Linked DNA regions of Caenorhabditis elegans. The protein of the gene in region 1 purifies or fractionates together with the protein of each later gene. This does not show direct contact. Each region holds a gene or a part of one and is shown on either strand. Other genes may lie near its edges. The genes, in order: nrde-2 and bath-31.

Region 1 (13,152 bases):
AATGAAAAAAAAGCTCAAATTTTCAATTTTACAATTTTTAGAATAAATTTTCAGTCAAATTTTTTAAAGTTCAATTTTTTTAAATATGGAAAGACACTTTTTTTTTCTTTGGAATATCGGAAAATCGAAACAACTATATTTTTACCCATTTTTGTGATTTGATTTTTTTCTCGATTTTCAAAAATTGGAAAATCTTCAAAAGAAAAGTCCAAATTTTTGTAAAATCGAAATTTTTAAAAAGTTTTTCCGCTGTTCGAAAAATCGCAATTTTTCTTCGGAATATCGGTAATTCAAAAAAAAAAAAAGAATCATAAAATATGATTTTTTAATTCTAATTTTGTTCATAATTTGAGAAAAAACCAAAATTTGAAGCTAATTTTTGAAAAATCGAAAATATTTTTTTAAAAACCTTTCTTTTGTGAAATTGAATTTTTTTTTCGTTTTTCCACTTATCTGTAAAATCTGTTTTTTTTTCAGAATATCAGAAAATCGAAAAAACTTTTTTTTTTCAATTTCTGGGAAATCTAATTTTTTTTGTTCCCAGCCCTGTGACTTGATAACTCACTAGATTGAGTATTTTCGGGGAGCATCTGAATCTGTAAAAGACCCATTCGAAGCATAAATATCAGCGACCAATCCGGTGCAACATAACTCTTATCACTTGCAAATGACAATTGTTTCTGATCTTCATGACGTTCAGTTGCAGACCATATTCCACGTTGTATTGACATAAGATTCCCACCATCCATTGCTCTGTCTGCATCTCCATCATTTTTGTGTGAAGTCGATGCTGCGGAAGATTCAGATAAGTGAATATTTTCCGCTGATGGTACTTTTCGACTGCAATCTTCACTCTGCGAGTCACTCTCACAAAGTGAATCGAATTTATTGTGCTTGTGACGACGTTTCAGTTTTCCCCACATTTCGAGAATCGGACGGGAGAAGGTGAACAGTCGTTTGTAGATGTCGACGAACTTTATCTCAACCGATTCAATTACCATATCAACATTTGATTCAGTGACGAAGACTCCTTGGCATAACGTCTGAAATAATTTATGAATTCGGATGCAAGCGGAAAAAAGAACGTACAAAAGTCTCCTCAAACTTCATAAAAGGTGTGAACAAGCAGATGGACGTGTGAACTTGAGGACGAAAAATTCGATTCGTTCCGGGTATGACAAATGATTTTACTGATGATCGTAGAGCATTTCGAAGGCTTGGGATGATTCGATCAACGAGGCAACAGTTGGATTCATCGTCCTGAAAAATTACGTGATTTCGCACAATTGCTCTGGGCTGGGACTTGTTAGGTTTTTCATTTGTTTTTTTTTTTGGTATTTTGACGAAACATTGATTTTTTGGTTTTTGGGACCAAAAAACCAAGGCTCATTTTGTAGAATTTTCAGATGAACAATGCAGCGCAGCCGTGCCAAAACCAACTCACCGCCATAACAACGGATGGACTGAGATCAAGAACAAAAACAATTCGATAATATCTGGATATATATGTGCATTTCGTTCTGACAGTCACAATGAATTGCTCGTCTCCAACGACTTCTGTACCATCTCCTCCGGCTGGTACAATCCCGATGACTGTCATCTCTTGCCTGTACTCATCTTTTGGATCTTTTGATGGTTTATATGATGAGCATTGTGGAACTTCTTCGATTGATACGGCCTTTCCGAGATGATCAATGTACCAATGTGCACGAAGATTGCGGGATGCACGGAAGATTCTGAAATTATTGTTTTTCAGGATTTCTGATATTGAAAATTGTGGTTTCTAGCTTTTTATTGTTGCTTTTCTGGAAATATTAGGCTAAAAGCTCATAAACGTTTAATTTCAATTGATTTCTTATTTTCTGAAAAAACCATATATTGCCAGCTTTTTCCTTCTTACCTGTGCATAAACAGAAAGACCTCTCCGGCCTCCCGCAAGTTTTTTGTTTCAGTATCCATTTGATCGTTTTAATCGAACATTTGGGCTGAAAATTATTTTTTTTGCTTTTTCTCTTCAGAAGCTTTCAAAATATGAAAAATTGAAGTGCAACAAAAGCGATTATTAGTTAGTATTACATTAAAATGAAGAGTTTCTTTATTAACAAAAAAAAAACAATAATCTTTCACTCTACTTAAATTACTACACAAAAACTAAATAAAAATGACTGACCTAGAAAATAAGGGGAAAACGAAAAAAAACAATAGAAAAACAAGGGCCTAATTGAATTATCTAAAAAAATTATATTATCAGCAAAATTTCTGATTAAGAATGAAATTACGAAATTACCGGAAGTTTGAAGATTTCAGAAAAGAAAAAACAACAAAAAAACGTAAATAGAAAACAATAGAGTATCATGAACAAGGAAATGAATATTTTGAAATTAAACAGCAGTTTCTCTCTTCAACGTAGTTCCGAACTTGACTTCTTGGTTACGAGCTTTCAATTGCTCCTTCTCAAGCCATTCCATCTTATGTTCATGTTGAACCATTGCGTCAGCAGTATTACGATCAACGATAGCCTCGGTGAGCACTCCGGTTTCAGATGCATATGCAGAAGCTTGCCATCCGATGACAAGTTTACTCAATTCTCTTCCACTCATTCCAGATGTCTTTTTGGCAACTTCATTACACTTAGCAACCCAATCAAAGTTATCGAGTTTCAGTCGTTGAGAACGAGATCCACTAGTTGCTGGAGTGACGATGTGCTCGTTGAAGTATTGCAGAAGAATTCGTTCACGTTCTTCCATTCCTGGCAGTGTGAATTCGACAAGCTGATCGAAACTGAAAAGAATAATAAATTCTGTTTTTTATTTAAAAAAAAGGATTACCGATCGTTAACTGCCCAATCGAACTGCTCTGGCTGATTAGAAGCCACGACAAGCATGAACTTTCTCGACTGCTCTCCAGTTCTGAAGAGGAAAGCGTTGAGAGCTGCACGTGTGTCTTCAGACATTCCATTCTTTGATCTCTTTTGCAAAAAAGCGTCAGCTTCGTCAATAAAAACAATCAACCCTTTGCGACTTTTTGAAGCCCAGTCGAATACTTTATGAATTGCAGATACTCCATCACGTCCAAGTGGAGCAATATCTCCTCCAGTGAGAACTGCGTAATCGAGTCCGGAATGTTGAGCCAAACTCTTTGCGAAAAGTGTCTTTCCGGTTCCTGGTGGTCCGTAGAACATTACATTACGGAAAAGTCCATTATTTCTCTTTGTGTTTGAGGTGGTAATGGCAATATCACGAAGACGACGTTCCAAAGCAGGTGGTAATACAACTCCATTCAGTGGATCCTTCTTCTGACGAGTCATCATTTGAACACTTTTAATTGGGTGTTTGAGTACTTCAAGTGGAGTGATTCTGGATGTTTCTCTTACAAGACTTGGTTTTCCGAGACGAGATTCGATGTATCTTGCGGTGACTCCAGTTCCTCGTTTAGCGGTATACCAGCCGACAGCCAAAGCAGTCAATCCTCCTACTGCAGCAGCGATTTTCGTTTTATCATTCAAAAATTGATTGAGTCCAGAACCGATAAGTTCTCCACTGGTTTTAATTTTTTCAATGACAGTTTTTCGGTTCTCTTCTTCGTGAAGCTTCATTTGCTCTAAGTTTACATCTCTGTTATCTCGAGCAGCCTTTGCCCTGGCTCTGGTCTCTGCGTCAATTTTCTCGAGCTCGTATTTGTGTTTTAATGCTAACTCATGCTCAATAGTTTGCTTGCGAAGTTGTTCCTGCTTCTTGACAGACTCTTCTTGTTTTCGGAGGCTTTCTTCCTGCATTCTAGCTTTCATGGCAAGCTCCTCTTCGGCTCTCTTTCTGGCCAATTGATCTTGATATTCAGCACGCTGAAATTATTTAGTTGTTATGTATTCAGATGTTTGGAAAAATTACCGAATGCGCATGTTTAGTCTCTTCTCCCAAAGTCTTCCTCCGTTCTTCTTCAGCAACACGAATGTGCTCTGATTTCATATTGGCCAATTGAGCTTCGATCTTCTTGGTCTCGTTCTCGACCTCTTTTTGGCGTGTAACTTCTTGCATTCTCGACAATTCAAGAGCTTCTTTGGCATTTGGAAATTTCTCTAGATCACGAGCAGCCTTGGCGGCACGCTCCAAAGCTGTTGAGTCGAAGGAATATGCCATTTTGCTGTTTCCCTCTTGCCGTTGGCCTTGACCTGGTTGTTGTGGACCGCCAGGAGCAGCACCTGCTTGAAAATCATCCGGAATCTGCGGAGTAGCGTTTTTTTGAACACCAAATAACCAAGACATCTGAAAGAATAGATTGAAGCTTGGGATGGTGCAAAAATATTCTAAGGAATATTGATTAAAGGAAATGATTTATATATGTACTTATGCCAAAGTATGAAACAATAATTTCTTTAAAGGAATGAAATTCGGAGAGACTTTGTGTAATCCTTGAAGAAAACGTAGTATTAAAACAGAGTTGCAACCTTTTCAGTAAAATTAGATGATGCAAAACAGATTTTCCGGCTCATTTTCCCTGAATTTAAAGGACCTGCCGTCAAAAAAGACCTGCCGTCGTTATAATTCACGAATTTCTATTTTTTGAAACACATTCTGCATTGAAAAATAAACTTTAAAAAATTAAATTAAGATTGTTGGAAAAAAACAGAAATCGCTAAGGCAGATTATGCTCCAATGACATTTTCTGACGCATTTCTCGATATCGTAAAGTGCGCCAGCGTTCAAAGGCCACATCTGAGGCCCCACGAAAAGGGGAGCAGAACGAAAAGGGGATCTGCAAAAAGGGGATCTGCGAAAAGGGGAGATACGGAAAGGGGAGATACGAAAAGGGGAGCAACGAAAAGGGGATCTGGCACTGTGCCAAACGCTATTTTTCTCGAAGAAAACGATACAACGATTGTCGCGAATACGCAGAATACTGATGTTCCGCCGATCACGACTGAGAAATGATATTAATACCCAGGAAATGCGTCAAGGAAATATTAAAGAATTATTATGATTATTACGAAGTCTTTCCGTATTCTAAATGCTCACGACAATCCACCGAAGTCATCAACAACGACAAAGCCGGGAAACTCCTGTTTGAAAGCCGCGCCAAAAGACACACACGTCACGAGTGTTACAGTACTACCACACATGCACATCAAACCCCAACACGTCGACACCGCGCAAGGAAATCGTCACTTCTTCGTTTTACTCCCGGACCGGCAGGTCGCATGTTAAATATGAGCTTTCTCATTTTTATCATTCAACGGATTTATCAGTAATAAATTATATAATTCTACCACTTTTGAACCTATACCGATCCGAAACATGGTGCATCGGCTCCGATGTTACGCGTCGCGTGTTGTTAAGCGTATCTTCTAGAAGAAAACTTCAAAAATCAACGTGCGTTGCGTGAGAAAAATTGCGTTTTGTGCGTTTGGCACAGTGCCAGCTCCCCTTTTCGTATCTCCCCTTTTCGTATCTCCCCTTTTTGCAGATCCCCTTTTCGTTCTGCTCCCCTTTTCGTGGGGCCTCCCACACCTTTGTTTTTCTTTTCGAACAGTCACATTTTTCCTTTTTTTTTTTGTTTAAAACTTTCTTTCTTTCATTAAAAAAACAATTATGCAAATTGTGAATTAAGCTGTTTTCAGGGTAATATCATACCAAACTTAATGAACAATGTTTCGAGCGTATGGAAATAATGGATTGAAAAATCCAGAAAGTAAGTTTTTTCTACGAATTCATCTCATTTTTATAAATGCAAAATTCATTTTTCCAGGAATTTCTGGTGAGAATCCAGATCTTTATACGCAAACAAGGGCTGCTGTTCAACAACGAGCGGTGAGAAATATTTAGTTTTTTTTTTCATCTTTCATGCGATTTATTTCAGACTACCACTCTAAAAAGAAACGAAAAACAGAAACTCGCCGTGCAGAATGACTCTGTTTTTCAGCAAGTTGGAATTGGAGAATCTGATAGTGATGACGATAATGGTGGTGTTCGGGTGAGGCCAGTGACATTTAAACTTTAAACTTATTTTTGCTTTCAGATTAGAATGAGCCCCCACAGGTACATTGATCCAGATGATGTTTTCACTCTCCCAGAGGTGAAAAAGCAAAATGCCTTGTGCGTAAATAATTTTTCTAGTTTGAAAATAATATAAAATTTCAGGAGAGACGCGAAAATTGCGGCCCGAGCAGCTCAGGCAACTGCTTACAATACATTTCCGTCCGTTAAAAGCTTAAATGGTTGCCAAGATCCACCAGAAACAAGTCAACAATCCACAAGTCGTAAACGTTCAGCAAGCAACAGCAGGAGTCCATCGAGATCTCACAGTCGCCGATACGATCGGGATAATGGCAGGCAACGCAGCAGGAGTCGTGAAAAGAAGAGAAGAAAGAAGGAACGCAGACGAAAAAGATCCAGTAGCCGAAGCTCTAGTTCATCTCGTTCTCGGGATAGGTCATCTCGTGCTCGGGATACGTCATCTCACACTTTAATGAAAATGAACAAACCTGCAAAATATGCATTTCTCACCGATGAAGAATATCGCACGTGCGATGCGTACATTTCATCTGCGTTTAGTAAGTTTTTTCATCGAAAAAAGTGATCATATCACAATAAAGTTAATGCTTATTTACGATTCAAAGTTAAAATATATTTAGAAATTAAATATTCATATTATCGCCAGCCGGCAAATACTGCGCAATTTTCAAATTATTGTTAATTTAAAAAGTTCCAACGAGAAAAAATTACAGTTACTCAAACTAAAAGTGATTGTGAAAACTATACGCAAGGAGTTCCGAAGAAAGAAATTGCCAAGTGTCGATTGAGTGTCAAGTTTATTGTCGGTTTGGAGCATAACAATATTCTGTTCAACGTATGTTTTGGCACTTATTTTTTAATCTTTTCAAAAAACCAGTTTTCAGAATATTTATGGAGCGGAATATGCCAGAGACAAGGAAAACCGCCCATTCTGGGAGCAGCTGGATAGATACTTGAAGGATGTTCCGAAAGAGACATTCTTTCGATATGTGCCTCCAGTCGGCGGTTACTGGAAGATTCGTGACAGAGTTGATTTATTAAATCTTGATGTGAGTTATTTTGAATATATCGGAAACCGAAAACCAAGATTTCAGCACATTGACGATGATGTTCTAGCAAACGATTCGGATAATCGAAAAGATGCGTTCACATTTGAGCTCGAACAGGCGAAGAAAACATTTTCCGAAAATGTTCATAACATTGATGCTCTAATCAAAGTAATTTCAATGGAAGAAGAAATGTGTCGTCGGAATGTTGGAAGTTTCTCCAGTTCAAATCCAGCAGCTCTTGCCGAACGTCACCAGGAAATGGTGAAAAAAGCCATTAAAGCCGACGGTAGAAATGCAAAACTTCGATTGATGAAAATTGAATTACTCATCAAAATGGATCCCAACTCTCCTACTATTATTGATGACTTCAAAAATCTTACCATCACATTTCCACATGAACCAATGGTATGGATCAAGTATTTGGACTATATACAATATGATAGCAATGTGTACAATTACAAAAAATTGAAGAATGCATTCGAAGATTGTATCCGACAAGTGACTGGATTGACAAATGGAACACTTCTTTCACATTTGAATGCTGTTAACGATAGACCATTGCTTAGAATGTTCCATTTATGGATTTATATTCGTTATTTGAAGTGGATGATTTCCTGTGCACACACGCCAGTGGTACTGGCAAACATACAGGTGAGATTTTAGGAAATACTAAGAAACCTTTGGTTTTGTGAGTATTAAATCACTTTTTTTTTCAAGATTTTACTTATTTCAGGCCACTTTTGAATACAATTTTGGACTCGCTGATGTTGAAAAGCGGACGAGCACTAATTCAAAAGAACGGGAAGTCAGATTGGAGGAATTCTGGGAATCTGGTCTTCCGCGAATCGGCGACGAAGGTGCTGTTGGTGCAGAGAAGATGCTTAAACAATCGGAAGAATTATCTGATGAAGATATTCAGAAATTGGAAAATGATGATTTTGATATTCTTATTTCACGCACCGAGGAAACAATAGCGACGTGTCTTCAAGCTCAACGGGACGTGCAGATTTCGTGGATCGAAGTTGAACGAGAAATGATGAACATCGATGCTCGCGTGAAACGGACGAAACTGAAAGATTGTGAACTTTATGAAGATCATGTGGACGACTTAGAGACATGTGAACTCTGGGACATCATTCCTTTTGATAGAATTCGATATTATGAAGCACCAGGCGATTGTGCTAATTTCGATTTTGTACAACCTTTTTTGGAGTTGCTCGGCGTCAAATTTTTAAATTCGGTAAGCAAATTTCAACTAATATTATGCTTGAAATTAATTTTGAGGAATTGTAAAAATACTTTTTTTTTCCAGACGAACTGCTTCACAACAACCGAACAAATCATTTCTGATTGGATTTCTAATGATTCTACTGTTAACTTCTACAAAACTCCGACTTATACCGAGAAAAAGTGCTTTGAAGTTGGAAATAATATTCTGAAGTTTATGCTTTACAATCGACTCAAACTGACCGAAAACAATCCTGAATACTTGGATAAGACTATGGTGAAGTACTTGCTGGCAATGCTCGTCACCGAAGCTTCGGAACAGGAGAAGAAATTGAATTTCCACAGTTTTAAACTGAATCTTAAAAACTTGGTTGGAACATTCATCACTAAACATCCAGACATTTTCAAGCGTGCCATGCTGAGTAAGATCACAGGAATTGTCTACATGGAAAAGTTTGTGTCTTGGTGGGAGCGTGCACTGAAAGAACAGGAAAAAGTAGTGGAAGCTGACGAGAGAAGGAAGAATTATAAAGAGATCAAGATGGAGGAAGGCGTCGTAGATGATGTTAAATTCGATGTCATATTGTTAAAGAAAGACAAAGAACGAGTGCAAACAATTCGTGATAAGATTAGGGATATGATTGATATAGCTATCCCCAAATCAACAGAAAAGCTCATTCAGAGCGCTGATTCTTCATTGCCAACGCTTCAATTACATCTTTATGCCAATGTTCTACGTGGAAGACTTTCTATTCTAAATCAAAATGCTTTAGAAGAGACTCGAGATGTTTTCTGTAAAGAGATTCTTGGAATTCACACTTCGGAATTTGAAAGTGATGAAGCTCTCTTATTGGCATTGGATCAAGGATTGAACGAATTGCTGGAGCATTGCAAGGAGAAGGACAATCTTGAATCGGTCGACAGTATACCAGAATTACCAAGAGCTGAGGCACTGTGCGAAGCTTTGAAAGTTGTGGCGGTATTTGTTTTCTGTGAGTTTTATAGTCTTTGAGTCTTTGTAAAAATTAATTGATTATTTTATTAAATTTCAGTGGACAAGATGGCATTCAGCAGGCGTGCAGTCGACTGCCTCATTGCCAACGCGATCACCAAATTCGAGCAATTTGAAGCCAAGAAAAATGATTTCAATCGTGGAACTTATGAAAAATACTGTGATCAGATCGATTTGAAATTCATCACGGACACTCTCATAACCTTCTTTTCGCACAAAAAACACCGTTTCATCTACAATGAAAACTTCAAAAAGTTGATCTTCCAAGCATCGCAAGCGTTCCCATGTGATTCGAAATATGCGAAGATGCTCGGCGAGCTGCATTCCAGCGGTCGTCTGCAAGTGATGAAGCTTCAAGGATTCACCGACAGCAGAAATAGTATTTTGAATGCGAAACGAGATCAGCAATTTGATCCAGAACTTGAAACTCGTCTTCTCATGAACTCGTTGACTATTATGTTCTCTTGGATGAATGCAGCCAACCGGATTGGAGACGCCGGAAATCAAATCCTCTATAAAAATTGGAAACGAGAAGCAGCTAATACACGTGATCCGGCTATCTGGAGACAAGTTATAAGAGTTGCCAGTAAATTGTCACAGAAGATTCTAAAGGACGATGTGAGTTTTCAGGAAAAAAGGTTGTATGTGAAATTTAAATTTCTTACAGGCTTACACTCGTGCAAGAGGTCAATGTACATGGGCTCTCAATTTGCACTTTGATTATATTGAAGCAAAAACTGTCCGCAAGAATGGAGATCTAATGGAGATGATGTAAGTTCAATTATTGAGAGCAAAGTTTCAGTTCAAAAATGTAATTTGTTGTGCCCGATTTTTGAAAATAATCAACTAAGATTGATTTTATTACAATGTTCAAATTATCGAAGTATAATTAATTTAAATCGTATTATTTTTTTTCGATTTCTAGTCTAGTCTATATACAACAATACAATACAAAGCGAATAAATTTTATTAAAACGCTATGCAATTATAATCAGCACACATGCCAATGCATTCTAAATAACACTATTTACAGCTACCTCATTCTCGAACAAAGCATGGGACAAGAGCATAGTTTATTTGTGACCGACGAGGAATACATGAAAACACAGCAGGAAATTGGACTACAGTATTCCGAATCCGGACGTTGATTCTCTCTTTTTTGTGTAACTCGGCCTATAACTTTTTTAAAAATCCATTCCATATAATTATCCACCGGTATTCATTTCATCCCAGGAATCTTTCTTTCTTTTGTTCTTTCTATCCGACAGATTATGTTTATTTTTGTATTATAATTCTTCTGTCTTTTCGCATTTTTTGTTTCGGTAAAAATTTTTTGTTTTCAACAATGAAAATATTCGTTTTAATGTCATATTTCTTTCATCATGAAAGAGGTTACACTTCCTCCAACCAGTTCCTTCCATGCATGAATAATTGTATTAAATATGTATTGCAATGTATGTGCACAGATGTTGAGGGCACTCCGCGGAGCAGCGGACCTACTATCGACGGCTCTTTACAAGAATGAAATGATGATGAGTAGAAGGTGAGTATAGATTTCTCTAATTATTATTTAAACTATGCGAAAATCCTGCTTTTGGCGAAAAATTTTGATGTTTTGCTTTTTTTACACTCGAGAATATTTTAAACTTTCAATTTATAAAATTTGTTTAAGCGAAAATTTTTCGTTGAAAAAAGTGAACCTGCCACAAAATGGAAACGTTTTTAAAAAATTAATTTTTAGAATTTCCCTTTTTTTTCCGAAAACTTACACTTGAAATTAGAAGTAAAATGCAATTATTATTAAAATATTCGAAAATTCTCAACAAAAAAAAACGTTTGAGGCCTGCGAAATTACTCGTATTTTTGACGAAAAGTTCAATTTTTGCTTTTTTATTCGAAAAAAAAACTAAATGGAAAACTTTTTTTTTGGTTTTCAAATTTCAAAATTTGTTATTCGAACTCAATCCTTTTCTCGCGCTGAGAAAACAGGAATTATCGTCTTATGGCTTAATTTAAATGTCCAACAATTTCCAGATATTTATCAACTCCAGCTCCTGAACCTGCAAAACCATCATCTGAAGAGACTACGGAATCCACGGAACCGGCAACATCTGTAGAAGATGCTGGAGAACCTATGAAAGAGAAACGAATCACTCAACCATATTCTAGCGAGGCGCTTACAAAATTGAAACTTGATCAGTATCCATTGTAGGTTTTTGGTTTTTTTTGTATATTTTTGAAATTATTGCCTGCCGCTTTTTTATTCTCAAAGTGAGAAAGAATTGCACATAAACTATACACTTGTATTGAATATACGTTTCTATAGATACGTGGAGAGAGAATGGTGGAAAACCGGAAAACGAATGACATTCTGGGCGAGTTGGCGTCAGTTGAGAGATGTCAAACGACGTGAGCAGATTCAGGTTGGTTTCTATTTTTTATACGAATATTGTCATATGTGCTAAAAATATTTTTGGTTTTTATTTCAAACCAAAAAGGAAAAAAATTGAAATTTGTAAAAGAACCAAAACAAAAAATACCAAAAAATACGAATATTGTCATATGTGCCAAAAAATTTGTTTTAAAGGATTAAAGGATTAAAGGACGATCCGTTCTTCAAGTGCTATGCACTGCGGATCTGGGATTCAGGTACACTGCCTGGTGGTGATCCCTCTGGGCTGTAATTTAAGCCACGTCCTAGCCGGGGACTGTGGCCGATAATCCAGTCGTGGATTGCTCCACTTCCCAATAGAGGCTGGGTGAACCTAGGGGGTGAGGCCGGACTTGAACTCGTGACCTCCAGACTGCTAGCGGCCACCACTACCGACAGAGCTAAAAAACATCAAAAACCATAAGAATATTTACAAAATATAAATTGTTTAAAATACAAAAAAAAAATCGCATTTTTCTTCGTGCCAGAATACCAAAAAACACCAGGGCTGTCACCAAAAAAAATTTTCCATAAACAAAAAAAAGTTTTTCGCTTCTTTTCACATGTCTGAAATTTTTTAAATATTTTTTTTATTCGAAAACCACCAAAAAATCGTTATTGAAAATCATTACTTTTTAAAAAAACAAAACCCCACAAAACAGAAAACCCAAAAAAAAAACCATTTTTTGTGACGAAAAAACCAAAAAATTCCCTTTTTTATTAAAAAAACCCCCACAAACCAAAAAAACCAGAAAAAACCCATTTTTGTAACAAAAAACCCCCGACACCCCCATTTTTGACAAAAAAGCCTTAAACAAGCCCAGGCCTGCTGCTTGCCCTTGATTAAAATTTAATTTCAGGAAGTCGGCGCGGATCGTATGCGTCTAAAAGCTATCAAATTCAACACAATTCTCCCGCAAGCGATTCGTGACGAAGCAGCCGAGAAAATGCAAAAAGCTCGAAAATACGATCATCCTCGTCTGATTCTCAATATGTGCCAGTTCACAGGACGACAACGTGGAAAGATAAAGCCATACAGATTGAGTAGACACTTGTTCCGTCGATTTGCAGATAGATCAGCTCTCAGTGGAGTCCAAAGAGCCATGTGGTAGTGTGAGATAGGAGTTGTAGTTTTAGATTTATTTGTTTTCTATTTTTGATTTCTTCTTCGTTTTGAACACTTCTTTTGTTATCGATGCTCTTAATGAATTATTTTTGTTTTATTGTGATATAGATTATGATATCTCTGTATTGGTTATTGATCAATTAAAATACTTTTTTTTCAGAAAAATTATTATTTTCAGATGTTTTTCTGTCCATCAGTGTGCGAGCGTGCTCCACAGCCCCAATACAATGGGTCTCGTTAGTTAATTGGCGGCAAAAGCCTAAAAATTCAAACGTTTTATTTTTCGGCAATCAAGGATG
Region 2 (9,378 bases), 6.5 Mb from region 1:
TATAACCCCTGAAAACACGTGGAACGCCTAGGATTGTCCTGGAACGTTCGTATTTGCTTCATAAGCCATTTCTCGGCTCCCAATGACTTTCGCAGCACCAAACTTGACCAAAATGATCTTCCCCACCTATGTATTACTATTCAAATAATTGTTGAAAACATTTATTCATATGAACCAAATGGTAAAGGGAGCAACTGCAGTGATTTTCAAAAGGCTTGATTTAACTATGAAAACTAGCGTTTGGAGGAGCAGAGCTGAAGGTTGGTAATACATTTTCGACTAAAAATTACTAAATTAAAGCAAAAAAATAAAAATTATATTATGTGAACATCAAATCTGTGGAAATCCATGGATACATCAAATGCTAGACATCTACAATCACCGATTCAGGTTTTGTCTGTTAGCCTTTAGGTTCTTTGATCATAGAAATATTCAATGAGCAAATTCGCTAAATTTCAGTTGAGTTATAAATACAGCTAGAAAAATCGTCATTCAGAAAGTTATATCTTACTTTCGTCTTTAAAATTTTCGCGTGTTAGCTTGAGAAAAATACTTGCGGCCTCATGAACTTTTCCGAATAAATTTTCGAAGACTTCTAATCAAAATCAAAGCTTCAAGGATATTTGAACCGGATGAGCTAAAATTCTGTACAATAGGAAGTCAAAACCATCAGCTCTGCGCTTCCAAACGCTAGTTTTCATAGTTAAATCAAGCCTTTTGAAAATCACTGCAGTTGCTCTCTTTACCATTTGGTTCATATGAATAAATGTTCTCAACAATTATTTGAATAGTAATACATAGGTGGGGAAGATCATTTTGGTCAAGTTTGGTGCTGCGAAAATCATTGGGAGCCGAGAAATGGCCTCTGAAGCAAATACGAACGTTCCAGGACAATCCTAGGCGTTCCACGTGTTTTCAGGGGTTATATTTATTTTTTAAATGTGAAAATGAAACCGTCTGAACATTTTGGTGTAAAGTTATTCACAAAATAAATTTATTAATTAAGAAGAAAACCCCGATTTTACCGAAAATTGCCAAAAATCAGAGGGGGTGCTATAGAAGTTGGACGGCCATTTTTCCGATATTTTGACCTGATTCCTGTGATTTTTGAGATATCATAATAAAAATTGGGGAGCATAGGTTTTTCAACATTTGCTATCGAACTGCACTAGCACTTTTTCAAAAAATATTTTGAGAAGCTCCAAACCGCCAAATTGGAGGGGGGTGCTATAGAAGTTGGACGCACTGTATAATTATAATTATTTGGTGGCCCTGATAATTTATTTTATTAATAAATTATTAATAACATGTTTTGTTAGCAACTGAGATTTCAATTAAAATAATTATTTGGTCCAGCAAGTTGTCGGCCGCTCTAACTTTTTCCAGGGTGAAGCTGGTAAAAACTTGATAACTGCAAAACTGTAGAGTAGATCAAGAGCACCACTTTGTTAGTTTACAACATTTTCCTGAGCGCAATAGTTCTCGAGTTACACCTATTTGAAAACTCAGCAGCCAAAAACTTCCAACAGTCCTGTAAATCCATTACGCTCATATTGATCTGCTCTATAACAGCTGTGCAGCCGTTTTCAGTTGATATTTTGTGACGTCTGTCTGTTTTCAGTCGATATTTTGTGACGTCTGTCTGCAGAAACTCGAGATCTCAGTTTTCTCAGACAAATCTCGATGGATTGAAAGTTGAAAAGGTCTTGAATAGGGAGTTCACTGGGAACAATAATCTGGCTAAATACCTGCCATGTGTGGAAAAAATCAGTATAGTTGGCGGAAAGTCTGAATCGAAAAATGATTGGACAACATTTCACAACGTTTCTAACCTTGCGATCTTCTTCTCTGTGACTCTTAACGACCTACTATTGATGAACAATCCAGTGATTTCACTCCATGCTACCCCGTTATCCAATTCCAATTTGAAATTATTGATCAAGCTCTGGGTTAAAGGCTTTGAATCCAGACCTTGAACTTTTCATTTTCTACATTTACAATGATTATCCCCACTCTAGCCCAGAGCTACTAATGCCTAATTCAGCCGAGGAATCTGATGTTCATGGCATGCGTGCCTATCGAATTAAAAACATTCATGGAACTTTTTCTATTTGGAGGTTCTGATTTCTTTATTCCATCGTTTTTTCTAATCAACACTACTTCTATTTACGACGACGACGACGAGTTACTGTCAAACACCGTCCGACGATTGAAATCTTCAATTTTTTCCAGTTTTTGAGATTTTTTTCGAGTCTTTCGAATTAAGCTTATTTTCGAAACCTCTAACTTCTTATTTTTCTATGTTTTTGAACTTCACTTTTCAAAACTATATTTTTAAACTCCACAAAATATAACTATGTATATGTCTTATCAAAATACTTTATGAAATGCTAGATAAAAGTTTCTTGAATTCTTGACTTGACTTTTTCTGGTTTGGTCTGGTTCATGATTTGAATTTCTTCTGTAAGTCTTCAAATTTTCTCATCAATATAATATAAAGAAAACGTAAATTTATTTTTTGTACTGGCAAATAAAACTTTACAATTGAAAACAGAGAAAAAATAGTGGCCAAAAATCAGTTATTAGAAAAATGCAATTCATATTTGAAAACGAACAATTTTTAAACTTCAAGAACTCGCTTCAAGACCCGCTTCATCAGGAATGGGCTCATTTCATCAATGTTTCCAGCGATAATTGAGCGGACATCTTGGATGGTTTTGATGGTGTTGCAGCAGTGAATCTGGAAGATAAAATAAGGTTATATTCAGGTGCACGCACTTACCTCTAGTTTCTCCAACTTGTATCTAATTGCCAATTCCAATTTCTTTTTCCCGGACTTCTCGGACTCCTTGTAAAGAAATTTCTCGCATTTCCCAATAACCGCTCTAGAATCGTACATGTCAGCAAGTTGAAGGATTCCTTCGACGGTATTGTCTGAAATTTTTAAATTATTACCAATGTGAGCACTAAAAACTAACCATCAATCGAGTCCTCCAAATAGAGAACTTCCAAAAATGCCTGGAAGGCTTCCGGGTCTATCCCAGAGAGGGTAACCTCTGATTTCTTCGACTCGCCGAAACTGCCAAAGAACAAGGATTTGAAGTAGGAGCACTGCAGAGCGAGATGCTTTCTCAGAACATGAAATCTCTGCTCATCCACTACCAAAACCACATCGGACAGCTCTCCCATAGACTCATTGTCGAACTTCAAAACCGGATCTCTTCCCTTGAACCCAGAAGCGTTCAATATTTGAACATGAACTTTAAAGTGTAGCGCATCTTCAATCACAAAGTTTTTTGCGACTTTCTCCCAATCGGCAAACTGCTTCCATCCCCATGAGTTTTCCTTCGGCTTCTCACTATTGAAATTTACAGTGGCTGTTTTGCAGTGGGGAGATTCATTGGGAGATCTAAGCTTCACTTCAACATTCGCCTGAACTGACCAAATTGTGCCAAGTTGGTCGCAACTAAGATACACCTCAAGTTGATCAGTTCTTCGATTGACATGGAGTTTCCTGGAAATATAAAAATTTAAATAAAAAAAGGAAAGTTAAAAATACCATGGAATATAGTAATATTCTTTAACCTCGCTGCAATAAGTGGTATCCGGCTTGAAGTTGGAGATTGCTTTAATAGTGTAAGTTGACACAAATTCCTTTGTTATAACGAGCATGTCTACTAACCTACTAAATTGCAGAAAAATGACGAATAGGAAGACTTGTAGAGGCAGATTATGAGTGAATAACGCTAGGAGATAATCTTAGTGGATCGATAAAATAATGCATAATGCAGCGTCTCGTTTCCCGGCAAATTTGGCACAGTTGGCAGCTGGTCTTCCAAAAATGTTGTGAATTTTGTTAAAGATTACAATATTCCCCCCAAAGAAGGTGCATCGTCAATGGAGAAATTACTGAAAAAACTGAGATACTGAAAAACTCAATCAGCTCTACAATGTGCAATTACACACATTTCATAAATTCGTCGGCCCCGCTTCTCCAAAAGCCCCAACGTCATATGTGACGCAACTTCTCACAGCTTTCGAGGACACAGTCTTTGAACTTATGTACCTCTTTTTGCAACTACGCAAAAACATTTCTCACTCCCCTTCCTCCCTGCCCTCGGACAATCCGCAGAGATTTCTTCTGTGAAAATGAGTTTGTCATCACTAGACGCCGTATTGTCGCTTATTGCAACCTCTTCCACTTTGGATCAGGATTCTGCTAAGGTGCCCCAGTGTCAAGTTTGCAAAAGAAAGTTCGCGAATCAGGTTAGTTTTTGAAGTGAGCAAAAAAGTGTTGTTAATTTATCTTAATTTTACAAAATTTACTGTACAGCAGATAATCTTCCTTTTTTTGCTAGTTAGTATATAGAGCTCACTACCATTTTTCAGAAAACGCTGAGAACGCACATGAAGCACATTACGTGTAGGCCTGGACGTTCCAATGTGGTGAGTTTTTGAGAAAATGTTTAAGCCACTGAGCTTCTCCTCCTCCAACTATACGTTTTTTCAGGTCAATCACAAATTCAGATGTGAAAATTGTGAGAAACAATTCACCAACAAGCCAAACTTGAAGCGTCATCAAATAACTCACTCTGGTTCAAAATCCAAGAAGTGCAGCACTTGCCAGAGAACATTCTTCAGGGAAGATCAGGCAAGCAGATTTTATTCCATTTTTCCTGTTCAATTCCAGCAATTTGTAATTTTCAGCTTCAAAGGCACCTGCACAACCATCTCAAGGAAAGATCACATTTCGACTGTCCCGTGTTGAACTGTTCAATGCAGTTCGTATTCTATGAGGGCGTTGAAAATCATCTCGTAAACCATCACCACTTTTCATACAGCGAATCGGCTCCGTGTGGAAAATGCCACAAGTTATTCGGGAGTCCTAGGCATCTCCTGGTACACTACCATTTTGATCATAAAGAGGTGAAAAGCTTTATAATTCTTTAAGACTTAACAATCCTTTCAGGCTCTGCGCTCTTCGGCTCCTGCTCCCACAAGCTCCGCCAGACTGTCACCTATCACCGTATCAACTTCAGGAAGTCCCAGAGCTCAGTTGGCAATCTCGCCACAAGAGAAGCCGCCTCAAAAATTGAGCATAAATCTAGGAACTTCCCCGATGATCGAAGAATTCTGTGAACAGAACTCGGTATGTTTTCATTTTCAATATTGGTTTTGGTGCCGTTCTTTGAAACCATTAGACTTGAAATTTTCAGGCAACTCTTCCAAACACTGATCAACAGCTCTCACCAACTCTAAGCCCCAATGAGCCAAGGTTTAGAAATCTAATTACCAGTGAGCCAACCCCAAGCTTTGTAAGTTCTTAAGTTTCAAAGTACACTTTCATCAACTCAAAAGCTCTTCAGGAATGCAAGCACTGCACGATCAAGTTCCACGATGCCACAATGAGCATCATGCATAACGCCCTTCACGCGCCAGGAAGCCCATTCAAATGTGCAATTTGTGGAGCAGAATGTGGAAATAAGATCGTGTTCACCATGCACATCATCACTGCGAGTCATGATTTTGGTGGCATAGGAACTTAATTGATAAGATTCTACTGCTTAATTAATATTTTTTCTTGTTAAAAGTACTCAATGAATCTCGTTCTCGCCCTTGAAGGAAACTGATAATTGTTGATAACTACGGTAACCTACAGTACCCTATTCTATCGTGATCACTGATTTTATGGAGTAATCAAACAATTAGTTGGTCTTCAGAATACAGGACTGGTAGATCAAACTACGCATAGTTTCTTTTTCTATCTACATCTTCTTCACTCTCCTTCCCATTTGCTCTCTGCCAATACCGCGCGCCAAATCGATAATTGCGCCCCACCAAAACACTCTGCGCGGGTTCATTTATTCCTTCACCTCTACTCTCTTATCAATGGACCTGCCTGAAGCTCAAGCTCTTGTGCCAGTTTATTCTCAGGTACTGTAAAATTTTCACAAATTAATTAATAAAGGATCCATTTTTTTTCAGGAATTGCGCAAGGTGCAACAGTTCAAGTAATTACATTCTCAGAAATCTCTGAGCAATCACATACGGAACACCAAATGTGGACTTGGGCTGTCTTCTTACGAAGACGTTAGTGCTTAATAGATAGCGTTTGGCATCATAATCTATCTATCTCTATCTAACTCTATCTAACTTATCTATTTCAGAGGTACACCTGCGAATTCTGCGGATCGAAATACAATTACCAAAGAAGCCTGGTCAGTCATATGAAAAGTCATCTGGAAACTGAAACTGCCGCTTCTCCAGCTCCTATGCAGACCAACTATCTCACGTGTCCTATTGGTCAGTGCGAGATGAAGTTCAGTTCGCAAAAGATACTTCTCGAACATCTTTTCTGTCGCCACATAGGCCAGGTGCAAGAAGTGTAAAGCTCCGTTCGCCAGTGTTCAAGGACTCCTTGCTCATTTCAAAGAGAAACATTGTGGACTGAAGGTAGAATCAGCGACAACGTCAGCAGACGCCGCGCAGAACACTTTAGGGGAGTTATTGAATGCGATGGGAGCTTCTTTGTCAGCAGAAAGAATAGATGGTGGGCCAAGTCAGGAGCTCAGCAAGGAAACGGATTTGCAGGAAAGCTTGTTCATAGAGTCTTCAGCTTTAGCTTCAGCCAATGGATGGCCACAGCTTTCCGTTGATAGTCAAAGTTCGGGCACCAGTGGTTTCCCAACGAGAAGCAGGCTCTTCGAAGAAAAACCATTGACCTATATCAACATTGATTCTCTTCCCTCGTCTTTTAGCCTCACAACTATGGTAAGAGTTTAAATTGTATATTGAGCAAAATCTTTGGTTTTCAGGTATCTACTCCAGCTCAGTTGCTCAGCTCTTTTCCCGGTGTTGCGACAACGCCAGAAGCTTTTTTTGAAAACTGTGAAGGAAAGTTGTGGAATTCCTTGGAAGCTTCTTTGCCGTTGAAGATCAATGATGGAATGCCAAACCAGGAGTTCGAAAAGCAAGCGGATTCTCAGAAAAACTATGGATCACCACAGCTCAGCGGTGCCACCCTTGATGGTCAAGGCTCAGTGAGTTCAAGGCTCAGTGAGAGAAAGCTCAAGTACGCAAGTGATCTTCCGACAAGCAGTAATGTTTGTGAGCCAGCCAACTCATTGAGCTCGACGAGGCACCAAACTCTCACCGGTTCTAATGGGGTAAGGCCAGTAAGTTTAACTTCATGTAAAGAGCTTCTCCCTCTACAACAAACTTTTTCCAGGTTAATCGCCAATTCAAATGTGAAATCTGTGAGAAACAATTCGCCAACAAGCCAAACTTAAACCGCCATCGAAAAATTCATTCTGGAACAAAATCCAAGAAGTGCAACATTTGTCAACAAACGCTTCACAGAGAGAATAGGGTATGCTAACTAATTTCATTTTTATATACTTTTCAGAATTTTCAGCTACAAGAGCATCTGTACACACATCTCAAAGAACGATCTCATTTCGACTGCCCCATGCTGAACTGTTTTACGCAATTTCGGTCTCATTTGGAAATTCAACGTCATCTCGAGCACCACCACCTCGTTTCACCACACAATTTGGCTCCGTGTAGGAAATGTCGCAAGCACTTTGGAACTGCCAAGTATTTCCTGATTCATCACTATTATTATCATTCTACGGTGAGAAAAAACTATATAATGCTTCAAAACTAATACATCTTCTCAGGATCTGACCTCTTCGGCTCCAGCGTCAACTTGCTCAACCAGATGGTCACCTATGACCGTATCAACTTCAGAATCCAGCTCAACTTCAGAATCCAGCTCAGGAATGCCAACACTGCAAGATCCAATTCGACGATGCCCCAATGAGCCTGTTGCACAATGCCCTTCACGCTCCAGGAAGCCCATTCAAATGCTCATTTTGTGGAGCTGAGTGTGAAGATAATCTGGCGTTTACAATTCATATTGTTACTGCCAATCATAATTTTAGTGGACTTTAATTGATAATTTCGTACTGTTAAATAGTTATTTTTCGTAACGCCATTCAATAAATCTAGTTTTAGTTCTCGAGTGAAACTTAAAATTGATATATAATATGAAAAAAGGTTTTTCGGGCGCCCAAAAACTGCCGAATAGTCTTTTTTTGAAGCTTATTAGAAACTACACATATTTTCTTTCTTTCTCTGCGTCTCTCTTTCTGACCTCCCATTTGCCCTCCGCCAATACCGCGCGCTCAATCGATATTTGCCTCCAACACTCCATTCCGTAAAGGGGCATTCATAACCATTTAAATACTTTTTTCTTCTATCAATGGACCTGCCTGTAACCCCAGGTGCTCCCAATTTTGCTCAGTTGCTTGACCCAGTTCATTCTCAGGTAACTTTTTCCACGTTTGTTTTCAAAAGATTCAATTAAAATATTCAGGAGTTGGGCAAGTTTGTCTACCAATGCAAAGCGTGTAGCAGAATTTACGCGAGCAGGGTAAGAGAAAACTTTGCTCCAATTATAGTTCCAATTATCACAATTTCAGAAATCTCTGAAGTCCCACCTGAAGAGCTACAAATATGCTCGGGAAGTCGCTGGATACAAAAGTGTGAGTTTAGTTTTTTTTACTGAACAGAAAATCCCTTTGTGTTGAAACTCTACCTTTTTCCAGAAGCATACATGCGAAATCTGCGGAGCCCATTACTCAAGTAAAATATACTTGAACCGCCATATGAAAAAGCATCTGGAAACTGCTGATTCTGGAGCTCATGCAATTCCCAGTCTGGGCTCACCTGCTCCTTCTTCTTCAGGCTTTGCAACTATGGTAAGAGCTTTGAATTGTGTTGAGCAAACTATTTGGGTTTTAGATCGTTCCACCAGCTCCGTTGCTCAGCGCTATTTCTTCTGGATCTCCACAGCTCGGGGACACACGTGTTCTCGCCTCTTTTTCGTGCTTCGCGCCAATGGTAAGAATTCATTATTGTGGTATGGAAAAGCTTGGATTTTCAGATTTCTCCGCCATCTCAATTGCTCAGCTCCATTCAAAGTGATCAAGCAGCTTCGCAGCACAATCATCTGGAGAGATGTTGAGAGCGATAGAAGCATCCTTGTCGTCAAAAAGCAATGATGGATTCGGCGCGTCAAGCCAAAAGCTCGGCGAGCAGGCAGATTTGCAGAAAAGCTCTGGATTATCAGAGCTCGGAGAAGTCACCCCAGATGGTCAAACCTCTGTGAGTTATTTGAAGTTTTGGCGTTCAACTTAGGCTGACTATTTTTTGGAAGTTTCAAACCCCACGCGCTCTGCCAACAAACAGCAAGCTCTGTGAACGGGGCGAATCGATGAGCTCAATGGGATCCCCAACTTTCAATGCAGATCAGTTACTTGGCGAATCTACCTCGATGTTCCATGGAGCACAGAAACCTCAGCAGCCAAAATTTGT

Evidence for each region.
Region 2: the proteins of nrde-2 (region 1) and bath-31 fractionate together in Caenorhabditis elegans (co-fractionation; one large-scale study listed by BioGRID). This does not show direct contact.

The regions. Positions count from the first base shown.
Region 1 is NC_003280.10:10,240,101-10,253,252, reverse strand, and holds nrde-2 (Nuclear exosome regulator NRDE2), read left to right. Parts: upstream 1-5,614; 5' UTR 5,615-5,642; coding exon 5,643-5,685; intron 5,686-5,742; coding exon 5,743-5,804; intron 5,805-5,853; coding exon 5,854-5,967; intron 5,968-6,012; coding exon 6,013-6,089; intron 6,090-6,134; coding exon 6,135-6,547; intron 6,548-6,721; coding exon 6,722-6,843; intron 6,844-6,892; coding exon 6,893-7,057; intron 7,058-7,102; coding exon 7,103-7,708; intron 7,709-7,790; coding exon 7,791-8,297; intron 8,298-8,369; coding exon 8,370-9,276; intron 9,277-9,336; coding exon 9,337-9,914; intron 9,915-9,963; coding exon 9,964-10,067; intron 10,068-10,329; coding exon 10,330-10,444; 3' UTR 10,445-10,657; downstream 10,658-13,152. Other genes in the region: F54B3.1 (Protein SZT2), read right to left, coding at 566-1,043, 1,090-1,260, 1,445-1,736, 1,901-1,959; atad-3 (ATPase family AAA domain-containing protein 3), read right to left, coding at 2,382-2,781, 2,829-3,841, 3,888-4,262; mrps-14 (Small ribosomal subunit protein uS14m), read left to right, coding at 10,763-10,839, 11,331-11,504, 11,623-11,719, 12,588-12,839. UniProt on the Caenorhabditis elegans protein: Protein of the nuclear speckles that regulates RNA exosomal degradation. Involved in short interfering RNAs-mediated silencing in nuclei.
Region 2 is NC_003280.10:3,726,320-3,735,697, reverse strand, and holds bath-31 (BTB domain-containing protein), read right to left. Parts: upstream 3,726-9,378; 5' UTR 3,673-3,725; coding exon 3,560-3,672; intron 3,515-3,559; coding exon 2,979-3,514; intron 2,935-2,978; coding exon 2,783-2,934; intron 2,741-2,782; coding exon 2,621-2,740; 3' UTR 2,517-2,620; downstream 1-2,516. Other genes in the region: Zinc finger protein sdz-12, read left to right, coding at 4,150-4,266, 4,390-4,446, 4,511-4,651, 4,708-4,926, 4,970-5,149, 5,217-5,315, 5,367-5,546; C46E10.8 (C2H2-type domain-containing protein), read left to right, coding at 8,264-8,329, 8,378-8,434, 8,484-8,546, 8,610-8,762, 8,806-8,904, 8,948-9,028.